Linked DNA regions of Tribolium castaneum. The protein of the gene in region 2 binds, or shares a complex with, the protein of the main gene of each other region. Links are inferred from orthologs where the notes say so. Each region holds a gene or a part of one and is shown on either strand. Other genes may lie near its edges.

Region 1 (6,323 bases), on a different chromosome or scaffold from region 2:
CGACATTGCATTGTTCACTGAACCCATTTACTTGTAAAAATATTAATCTTTATACTCATCTCCCATGAAAAACAAGAGAAAATTTCAAACGCCCGTAAGAAAAGCATTGAATCTCGCATTTGTTTACGAGTAGCTTCAAGTTAGTGGCCTATGAAGGCACTACGTTATACCGATATGATAGCGCGTACAATGAGAATAAGAGATAAAAATGCATAAATATATCGAAAACTATTTAAAAAAAGAAATTTTTATTAATTTGTTCCATATTTTTTAAAACGATGCGAATATGGTTGAAGATACAAAAAATGTAAGGGATCAAATAAGTTGTAAAGAATTTTATGATTTTTCTTACACAATTAAGTGAACCATATAAATTATAATCAATTCTATTTATTTCTATCAACTATTTTTTGAAGGCGAGACGATGTCGAAGCGCCTTCATTTCTGTTCTGAACCTACACTAAGTTTTTGGATTCAGAAAATCGATTTATTTTGTATCTTATTTCTACATTTAGTACGTATTTAGTTTTTTGGAGGGAGGACTAAATGAGATACGAGATACTAAACTCACTCAAAAAAGTAGTGCGGCACAGTAAAAATAATTTACGTCGTGTCGCCTCTTAATAGTTTAGTCCTGCTTGGTAAAAATACCATTTTTATATAACATTTAGGTGAAGTTGCTTGGGGAAAACAGCCCTTTGACAAAACTGGTTGTCGACTTGAAGGGGGTTCACCCCGATGATGCGTTTTCGGTGGTTCCCTACGAAAAAGGCCAAACTTTTTTGCGCTACCTTGAAGAAGTAGTCGGCGGACCAGGTAAACAATTAACTGCATTTAAGCAAAAAAAAAAACAGTCGGTAATTGTAGCTCAATTCGAACCATTCCTCAGAGAGTACTTCAACACTTTTAAATACAAATCCATTGACACGAACGACTTTAAATCATTTTTCGAAAAATATTTCGCAAGCAAGGCGGCCATCAAATCGGTTGATTGGAACACTTGGCTTTACGGCACCGGAATGCCTCCAGTGGTTCCCAACTACAACACGTCCCTGGCTACCAACTGTGACAAACTTATGAAACAGTTTGTCGAGTGGGATGAAAAAGCTGCCTGTCCTGTTGAAACCACGCACATTAAGAATCTTGGTGCCGATGAAATAATTTACCTTCTGCAAGAAATATGGAGCGGAAAACCATTGTCTATTCCCAAACTTGAGCAACTGGACAAGTTGTTCGAGTTTAGTAAAGTGAAAAATTCCGAAGTTAAGTTCAGATGGTTGAGAATTGGTTTAAAAGCGCACTGGATGAAGAGTGTTGAACCGACTCTGAAGTGGATCAATGAAGTGGGAAGAATGAAATTTGTGCGCCCCCTGTACAGGGATTTGTACGCTTGGGAGGAAGTGAGAAGCAAGGCCATCGAAAACTTCAAGTTGAATAAAAATTCAATGATGCACGTGGTGGCTTATACTGTTTCTAAGGACTTGCATTTAACGTCTTAAAACTGTGTTAAATAAATTTTTACGCAATATTTAAATTGTTTTCTTTCCCCCATTTCAAAATTTGGAATTAATGTATTAAAAAAATGAATAAGCAAGATAAAATACTGTGGCTATTTGATATTCGAAAACTTTTTGACTAAAATAAAAGAGTTTGAGTTCAACATTCCTTAAATCATTGTTTTCATTATCCCAATTTTGTTGTTTTTCATCTATCAGAGTGTCCACCATTACCTAGGGAGTTACAATTCAAAGAAAAACTGGAGATGTGAGATGCAACAAAGACAGACACATCATTTTATGAATTAACGTAAGTCACGTAGTAAAATTTGTAAGCATTTTGATTGGGCCGTTTGAGGTCGGCCATTAAAATTACGGAGAAAACCAATCACTTTTGAATTTTTGATTCATTGAAAAATTATAGTTTTGGATATGATTGGTCCATTTAAGGTCGGCCATTAAAATAATGTGGGAAACCAATCACTTTCAATTTTCGGACTCATTCCATAATTTATTAATGGGAATTGTTCAATGGTTTATTGTTCTTAGTTTAAATTTAAAAAAGGCAGTCAATAAATATATCTACTTTGTTTTAAATGGTCTCAAAAAAAAATTAAAAAGCAAGATAAAATAATGTGACTATTTTATATTTGAAAACTATTTTCTTAACAAAAAATTATTTCAGAATGTAATCTTTCGGATAATCGATAAGTTTTGGAAATGATTTAACTTCTTCTTCAGTATAATGGTCTAGTCTCTTTGGCATTGGTCTAAGTTGTCTTATTTGATTAGAAACGTTTTTCATCAAATCTGCCGGTACATTTTCATCAGCAAAAAGATGCAGCCTCTCCATTGTGTGCCGTCTCTGCAAATTGCCGGCCATGCTTTTATAAACTGCTTTTTTGAGAATCTAAAAAAATGTTTACACTACTTGGTTCATAAGAGGAATGTTAATTAACTAATTTCGGGTCCTTGCTGTGTAATTCCCAAGCTAGGGTCCAAGACGCACCCCCAGGATAACCCGTGTGGTGAAAATAAGCCCGTTTCTTCCACTCTTCTTCAGGCATCGCGATCTCATTAGTGTTTATAACAATTACATGGTCACCACAATCATCTGAAACTGATATTGAGCAAAGAAACAACACCCGTTTGCCTTAATTACTCATTGGGTGGTAAATTGGTTTATATAAGCCCATTAAATACTTTTTTATCAGTTGCGCGGACTGAAATGGGTCCTGCCAAGCGGCATCGTACACATGCCATATCCTTGCAAAGGTGGCCCATTGCTACAATCCATAGACAATTTTATGCAATTTTACGACCAACTGTATTTACCTGAACCCTTTTTACCACAGACATGCTTGTTATTATTGTTACTTTTTTGTGACACTTTTTAGTGAGGTTGAGTTTTCATAACCTTACATTTGTTATGTAAGATCCAGCGTGCGGTCTAATAATCACGAAGCCGAAACAAAAAATTGTATTTTTAGTTGTTAAAACTTGATTGTTTTTGATAATTTTGCAAGTTCTAGACCTGTAAAAACTAGCTAAATAATTTCTGAGTAAAAAAGCTTGTGAAAATGATTATTTTTCACAATTTCGATAACTTGGAGATTCTACCGCAAAAACTCAGCGTTCTGCGCAAGTACTGACGCTTTGAACTTTAGGGGTTATGTTTAGATCAGTTTTGTTGATTATTCGTGAAATAAAAAATGTTTGAGGCCCAGGAAATTAATGCCGAACACAAGGACCTAATCCACGATGTTGCGTACGATTTTTACGGCCAAAGAATGGCCACTTGTTCCAGCGATCAATACGTTAAGGTTAGTTAGCAGTTGCGTTTTCAACTTATAAGGAAAAAAAGTAGGTTTGGGACCAAAACAGCGACGGCAAATGGACTTTAACATCAAGCTGGAAGGCCCACAGCGGCTCCGTTTGGAAAGTGACTTGGGCCCACCCCGAATTTGGCCAGGTTCTGGCCACTTGTTCCTTTGACCGAACTGCCGCAGTTTGGGAGGAAATTGGTACTTTCAGTAGTTTTTATCGAGTGTGTATTTAATGTGGGTTTAAGTTGGTGAGACTCCCGGGCCTGGGGAAAGAGGGACGAGGCATTGGGTCCGTCGGACAAATCTGGTCGATTCGAGGACTTCCGTTACTGATGTGAAATTCGGGCCACGGACGCAGGGTTTGCAGCTGGCGACCTGTTCAGCCGAGGGCATTATTCGGATTTATGAGGCGCCCGATGTTTTGAATTTGAGTCAATGGACTTTGCAGTTTGAAATCCAGTGCAAATTGCCGTGCAGTTGCCTAAGTTGGAATCCTAGTTTATCAAAGTATTTTTTGCAGAATTGTTAGACGGTTTGTAAATGGTGTTTTTAGGATGCATCCTCTGATGTTGGCGGTTGGAAGTGACGATCCAAATCCAGCCAATGGAGTCAAAGTTTTTATTTATGTTTACAGTGAGAGTTGCCGGAAGTGGACGAAAATGGATGCCATAACAAACATTACAGACCCCGTCTACGATCTCTCGTTTTCTCCTAATTTAGGCCGCAGTTTTCATGTTTTAGCCATTGCCACCAAAGATGTAAAAATCGTTAATTTACCTCACGTTTAGTAAGTTTTACATTTTTCGATTATTGTTTTTTCTAATCATTTTTTTGTAGCGACAACCCGAATTCGCAGAATGTTATTACAAAATTAGATGCACAAATTGTTGCCCAATTTGACGATCATGAATCCACCGTCTGGAGAGTCTGTTGGAATGTTACAGGAACTATTTTGGCTTCAAGTGGAGACGATGGTTGTGTCAGAATGTTTAAAAGTATGAACTAAATTGTAAGCTTATTTATCGTAAGAATAATTTTTTTTGCAGTGAATTACATTAACTCGTGGAAGCCAATAGCAGTATTAAGAGGTGATGGGTCACAAGTTTCTAATGAAGGTCAAAGATCATCAGTTTCTTCAACAGTAGGGCCGCAAATCCAAAGTGCGTCACAGACTGCTAGATATATTAAACTCGGTGCCATTTCTCAACCAAGAGACGTCCCTTGGCATTAATTTTTAAATCCGTAAAATGAGAACAAGATGTATTTCACAAAATACTGAATAAACTTTTATTTTAATATTTGTTTTTTATGTTTACCTGTTTCACAACTAATAATAAAAAGTAAAATACACAAAGTGATCAAGAATCAAATACTTCCAATAAGATTTTAAATTAATTAAATTGAATTTAAACTTCAAAAATCTCCTACGAACATTTTTTGAACAAACAAAACCTTGGTAAGATGATCGATTCATTGTAGTAAAAATACTTAAAAAATCAAAACCAAATAATAATTTTGCGGTTTTGTCCTAAAGTTATTGATCATTCTTTTAAATTTTGTATTTTTGGCTCTCGAGGAGGGATAATAAAAAAAACACCAATAAATAACATGAGCCCTGTTTTTAAAACTACAGTATTTACCTATCCCGTGATCCCCTTTGCGCTTTTGAATATGCTGGGGACACTTTCCCCCGACTTTTCGCCTTTTTCGTTGGATTTTGTAGAAATAACATCAATTAGAAATGTCAAATTGTAAAAGTGCGCGCGCATGCGCTTTGATTTTCAACATGTCATTTCGAGAATTCGTCAATTGAAACTTTTGGACTAATATAAAAGACTTTCAGTTCAATATTCCTCATTTCATTGTTCTCATTATCCCATTTTGTTGTTTTTCATCTAGCAGAGCGCCCACCATTACCTAGGGAGTAAGAATTCAAAGAAAAACTGAAGATGTGAGATGCAACAAAGACAGACACATCATTTTATGAATTAACGTAAGTCACGTAGTGACTGTTGTAAAATTTGTAAGCCTTTTGATTGGGCCGTTTGAGGTCGGCCATTAAAATTACGGAGAAAACCAATCACTTATGAATTTTTGATTCATTGAAAAATTATAGTTTTGGATATGATTGGTCCATTTAAGGTCGGCCATTAAAATAATGTGAGAAACCAATCGCTTTCAATTTTCGGACTCATTCAATAATTTATTAATGTGAATGGGTCAATGGTTAGTTCCTCTTAGTTTAAATTTAAAAAAGCAGTCAATAAACAAATCTTGTTTGTTTTAAACGGTCTCCCTAACTCAAAATTTTAGTAAAAAAAATTCGCTGTAGCTCATCTCAACTGCTACAAATTGTCTTTATTGTTTTTATGTTTAAAATTTTTTAAAATTTTTTTGCTCATTTCATTAAATAGACTGATTTGTACCACCGTACCGAATCAAAACATCCATAACTGGATTAAATTCGGTATTTACATTCGAATTATACTGGAATGAATTACAGATTCTGATCGTATTCAATATAAATAATAATAAATTGTGTCTGGCCGACAAATTGTATTTGACACACCTACACACATATTTTTTTACAAATTCAATAATACCAGGCTTATTGCATATTATCTGCATGCTGTGTTTCTTATTTGTGTAATTTAAATCGGGATATGAAAAAATATTGAGTTGAACGAGTGGAAACAAATTTAAAAAATGAAATTTAAATTTGATTAAAAAATGGGAAAGGAAAATTAAACACTGGGAAAAATATTAAATTATTACTTTATTTATCAATTTTTTCACACTGTAGGAAACCAACTTTCGCCTACAATTCCTACACTTAGACGCGACTGTGTATTATTTCCGCATCGTTTGTGACTGAAATAAAGATTAAACAAACACAACCAAACAAAACCTCCACTTTACGTTAAACATATAATCTGGAACATTTTTTATTAAGTATCCAGCGATCGATCGCGCGATCGGCTCGTTAGCTAGAGGATCCTTG
Region 2 (5,314 bases):
CCCAAAATCCGATGCCGATTTGTTGCTAGCTGTGGGTTTATCAAATGGACGAATATCACTGTCGACATTCGGCCCCACGGAGTATGACGCCTTGGGGTTGACTGGGAAAGAACTGGTGCCGAGACATGCAAGGCAGTGTAATGCCGTGTGCTGGAACACAATTGAGACTAGTTGGGTGGCTGCCGGGTTAGACAAGTACAGAGCGGACAATTCCGTTCTCATTTGGGACATTATGAAGTCGTCCCAAAACAACGAAAGCAATTCGGGAAGGATGGCGGTTAACACCATGGCCCCAGGGGTGGAGCTCGCAAAACCCATAGCCGAATTTGGGGTTTCCGAAACCGCCCACAGCATGGCCTGGTTCAGCAGCAACAGCAAGGTGATTGCTGTCGGGATGAACTTGAAAAATATCAAGTTTGTCGACATCAGAGGTATTCTTAGTCTTTTTCTTTCTCAATTATTGTGTCTCACAATTTCTTAAATGTCTTTCCATTTGTGAAATATCAAAATCATGTGTTAATTGATATTCCCTTTCTTTTCCAGTTAATTTAGTCGATTTGGATGAATTCTTTTTATGTAAACAAAGGCCATATTTTTTCGTTAATCTAATTAAAAATAAATATATTTGGAACAATAAAGCGTAACATACATTATATTATGTGGATATTTCTTACAATCTTGCAAGTATGTGTCCATATTTATGTTCAACATAATAATAATAATAATAATAATAATAATAATAACAGACCTTTATTAAAGAAAAATGGGGGCGAAGTCTAGTCAAAGACTATTCACCTCAACTCCCCAAAAAAAGAATTATAAAGATATATAAAAAAATATCAAACAATAAGAAAAATAAAACAAGTAATATAAATAACTTCAGAAAGGTACAAATAGAAAACTTAAAACTAAAAAAGAAGCAATAGAGTAAATATGGAAATGGAAACGTAGCATGCGATGATGAACACCATAATTAACCATGGAGAGCAAGAAATCTTTGTAGAGTGTACGAAATTTATTCACCGAAACATTCAACTGAAAGAGTACAGTGGAGTTAAAAACTTTAACACCATTATAAGTTAGCGAGCGTTGAAAGATGGATGAACTAAACTGAGGCATAGAGATTTGTGTATTATGATGAATGTTGACATTGTGAATGCTATTTCTAAATCTAAATTTTTTCTAAGGTAGAATGGAGACGAAGTTGTCATAAGTTTAAACATAAGTGTACCCAATTGGTGTCGATACATATTTTCAACTTTCAACCAACGTAGGTCGAGTATTTTAGACAAAACATGATCGTATTTGTTCAAACCAAAAATGAACCTACAACAACTATTTTGGATTTTCTGTAATTTGTACTTTGTGATATTATCTAAGCAGGGATAGTATAAGATTAAGCAATATTTCATAAATGACATAACTAAGGTTTCTGTTAACTTTTTACGTAATTTGAAATTCAAAATTAAATAGTTCGCGTATAATAACTTAAGAGCAGAATATGATTTTTTAGGACCATATTAACATGAGATTTAAAACGACAATTTTCCGGACACTGAGGTTTTTATTTTACTGAACATCACACAACAATATTACTCCTATGTTCAATTTTTTTCTTTCTTTCACATATACTTCTGTTACATTCGACTGCATAATAAAACGAACTTCAAAGGTATAAGGTATATTTCTTCTCGCGGGGACGAATAAAATTATTTTAACTGAATAATGAAAATTCTACAAAACTGTTGACTTTAGACAATGAAACCTGGGTCTTTTTGAACATCGCATAGTTTTTTTTGTCGATGCTCAGCACTTCTTTTGGCAGTGTTTTGAGTTCTTCTGTATGTTGAATAAATTTTCGTGTTTGGCAAAACATTGAATTGTTGTCCCAAATTATTTGCCATTGAATCATTTATTCATCAAATTGATTATTAAACCACGTACTTCGTTGCTTATTACACCAATTGTAAACCATTACCACAACGTAGTAAAATAAATGGGAAAATCATTTAAGAAATTGTGAAAAAAAGGAAGAAAACTAAAAGAAAAAAACTACGTGAGTCTAAATAAGAACACTTTTATTTTGACTCACGCTGTGGTCGAAGATTATTCAATAGTTACTTGTAGATCCTAACAAAATCACAAATTCTACGCTAACCAAGGCCGTTTTTGGCGTTTGCATGGACCCGAACGACGACCGGCATTTGGCGTCATTTTTCGAGAATAATATTTACGTTTGGGATACGAGAAATTTCGAAAAACCCATCCTGACGCTGCACCAGAACAAGCCTGTGATCAAAATTGCCTGGTGCCCCACAAAGTACATTCCCAATCGTGCATAAAATTCGAAATTTTTGTTTATTTCCTTAGGTACAATCTTTTGGGGTCTTTGCAAAAAGAGAGCTCCGTGATTAACTTATACGACATACAGCACACTGTAATCGGGAACGAGGAAGTGGAACCGTCCGTTTTGGAGCGGGACGTGGTCCCGGGATCCCCCCACAACATAATGTCATTTTCGTGGCACAACTCCGACGAGAACCGATTTCTGACGATAGCATTGTCGGGGACCATAACAGACTACACAGTTTTCGACAGAATAACCCTCAACTGGGCCCCCACGTCCAACGTGGTGTGGACTTACGGACGCAAAACCATGAAGTACATCAACGACTGTCCCCTGCAGGACATCTCGACCAAAATCCGACAAAGGGCGCTGTCCGGCTACGGCTTAAAAGTAGTGACTTAAGTACCACTTTACCATTTTTCCGATTTTCGTTTCAAGGCAGAGATTTACAAAAACGGCGAAGTTGTGGACAACGAAATGCTGGCAAACGTGTGGAACTGGCTGTTTTTGAGCGGGAAGTTGGTGGAAGACGGGGTTTTGACCGGAACACAGTGCAAACACCCGGGGGTGCAAGCGGTTTTAAAACTTGACCCCAGTAACAACAAGTCTGATCACTATTCCTTGCTGTGGTCCGATCTGGGGAACAAAAACTGCCAAGGAGTTGTCCGAATTTTCAAGTAATGTTGCCACGAGTTGAGTCCGATTTGATAGTTCGTTACAGGCACGAGGACCGGGACAAGGCGTTGCATTTGTGCAGTTGGCATTTTGAGAGAGATTCAAACCAGCTGACCGCCTTTTTGGAGCAGCTTGAAAAAGAAGGGGCGCACACAAGAGCTGCAGCGATCGCGGTTTTTAGTTTAAAAATCCGGCTCGCGATTGAAATTTTGAGTCGGGCTCCGGAAACCCTGGCCTTCGGGTTGGGGCTAAATGTTGTAGCAATGGCACTTGCGGGGTTCACCGACGATAAGAATAGTGTCTGGAAACAGTTCTGTTCGACGGCGAAGCAAAAACTGTCCGATCCGTATTTGAAAGTGATTTTTAGTTTCTTGACTGCTGAGAATTACAATTTCGAGAGCGTTTTGGTAAGTGATTAATTTATTTTGATGGGGGTTTAAACCAGGTTGTTGTAGAACGAGAGTGGGGTAACAGTCGACGATCGAGTCGCTTTTGCTTGCATGTTTTTGCCCGACAACCGACTGCACGACTATTTAAAGAAATTGTCAGATAAGTTGATAGAAGAGGGGAATTTGGACGGTTTATTGCTCACAGGAACAAACCAGGACGGGATTAAGTTGTTGCAAAGATATTTGGACGCCACTGGTGATATCCAATCGACTGCTCTCATAGCCGTCCGTGCTTTTCCCGTGGAACAATTCTCCGAAGTTATCAAAGTCTGGATCTCGAGTTACCGCAACCTGCTTGATACTTGGCAGTTGTGGAACGAACGAGCCCACTTTGACATCATGTTGAGTACTTACTGCCCCGCCGACAAGCCCCCACAGCAAGTGTACGTTTCGTGCAATTACTGCGGCAAGACCATCTCGGCCTACATGTACGGGCTCACCAGGGGGCGGGGCCCCTTCACTCGCATTGGCGGCACCGCCAACAAACTCAAGGTTTGATTGGTTGTTTCGCAATTGGTGTGTTTCTAATTGGTTCTACAGATGTCGTCATGCCCCGGTTGTCGGAAACCGCTGCCGCGGTGTGCGATATGTCTCATGCATATGGGCACCACCACAGGGAATTTCAGCAACGAGGTCGATAGTAATAAAATTATTGAATTTTCCAACTGGTTCACGTGGTGTCAGACGTGCAGGCATGGCGGGCACGTGTCTCACATGACCCACTGGTTTGAGTAAGTTGGCACAGAATTTTGTTTAAGTCAATTATCCCGTTGTTTTAGCGAGCATTCGGAATGTCCTGTGACCGCCTGCACTTGCAAATGCTTTTCTGTTGATTCGCTCAGCAATGCGATTATTAAGTGAATTGTGATATTTTAGCTAAGATTTACGGTACTTTAAGAATTTGATTTTTGTTAAATATATACACCCAACCAACGTTTTTGTGAATAAACGTGTTTTCGAAAACCTTTAAAGGTAGCACCTCGAACCACAAAATTTAAAAAAATATTTAACAGTGTCTAAATCTTAACAGATCGCTGTGATTAACATTATTTCATTTGCTGAAGGAGTGTAAAATGTTTACTTGAGAATGAGGTCTGAATACAGACACTTAAAAATAAAAAAATGGTATTTAAATAATGGTTTAATAATGATTATTGTATTTTATTGCCAAAAGGTTACAAAAAAAACTCATTAGGGCAATATAAAGTAAAAACAAATAAAAACGAGCAGTTGAAAATGACCAATTTACGGGGAAACCCACTGTTCACCTTTCTAGTCATACGACTGTAAGGCTAACTAAACCATAATTTGTCCTGTGAGTATAGTTCTAAAAATCGAGTGGGGTATTGTGAGACTTTATACTTTATAAGATTGCATAAATCAGGAGAATCGAATAAATTATTCAATATTTTAAAACAAAAAATGATTACAGTTATTATTAATACGAGTGCGAAAACACAAGTTTAAAGTTTGAAGGCTGTGCAACGAGCGCACGCGAGTTGCATCTAGACACCCGAGAACTTTTAAGCGTTTTCGCATAAGTGTTATTCATTTTTTTGTTGGAACATTTTTATTTAAAACACGTTGCTATAAAATAAGAGTGTTTATAATCTTTTTTTTCGCTTGTTTGTCGTCAAAATTTTATTCGTTTGTTTTTCTCAGCATACCTATCATGTTTTAATTTAAAACCACTTAAAGCCGAGGCGGTCTAGCAGTCGAAACGCCCTCATTTTTCCTTCGCCGCACACTGATTTTTTACATACAGAAAACTGAGTTCTTTTGTATTTCGTTTCGCATTTTTATTCATTTATCTCAAGAAAACACACTACTCTATTAGTAAAAG

Evidence for each region. The genes of interacting proteins can lie anywhere in the genome.
Region 1: mio (region 2) and Nup44A share a complex: the UniProt entries of both Drosophila melanogaster proteins name them as parts of the GATOR complex. The link is inferred for Tribolium castaneum from reciprocal best matches to the Drosophila melanogaster genes mio and Nup44A.

Annotation. Positions count from the first base shown.
Region 1 is NC_087396.1:12,235,412-12,241,734, forward strand, and holds Nup44A (nucleoporin SEH1), read left to right. Parts: upstream 1-3,063; 5' UTR 3,064-3,208; coding exon 3,209-3,319; intron 3,320-3,363; coding exon 3,364-3,520; intron 3,521-3,567; coding exon 3,568-3,829; intron 3,830-3,875; coding exon 3,876-4,109; intron 4,110-4,159; coding exon 4,160-4,317; intron 4,318-4,368; coding exon 4,369-4,553; 3' UTR 4,554-4,618; downstream 4,619-6,323. Other genes in the region: leukotriene A-4 hydrolase, read left to right, coding at 672-816, 868-1,499; mRpL13 (large ribosomal subunit protein uL13m), read right to left, coding at 2,173-2,406, 2,456-2,610, 2,659-2,782, 2,832-2,855; uncharacterized protein LOC661848, read right to left, coding at 6,173-6,193, 6,242-6,323. UniProt on the Drosophila melanogaster protein: Probable component of the nuclear pore complex (NPC). Involved in maintaining the localization of another nucleoporin Mgtor to the nuclear envelope of early meiotic female germline cells.
Region 2 is NC_087395.1:14,777,509-14,782,822, reverse strand, and holds the end of mio (GATOR2 complex protein MIOS-B), read left to right. Parts: coding exon 1-431; intron 432-2,127; coding exon 2,128-2,320; intron 2,321-2,370; coding exon 2,371-2,737; intron 2,738-2,785; coding exon 2,786-3,024; intron 3,025-3,068; coding exon 3,069-3,429; intron 3,430-3,477; coding exon 3,478-3,963; intron 3,964-4,011; coding exon 4,012-4,202; intron 4,203-4,250; coding exon 4,251-4,332; 3' UTR 4,333-4,442; downstream 4,443-5,314. UniProt on the Drosophila melanogaster protein: An essential component of the GATOR subcomplex GATOR2 which functions as an activator of the amino acid-sensing branch of the mTORC1 signaling pathway.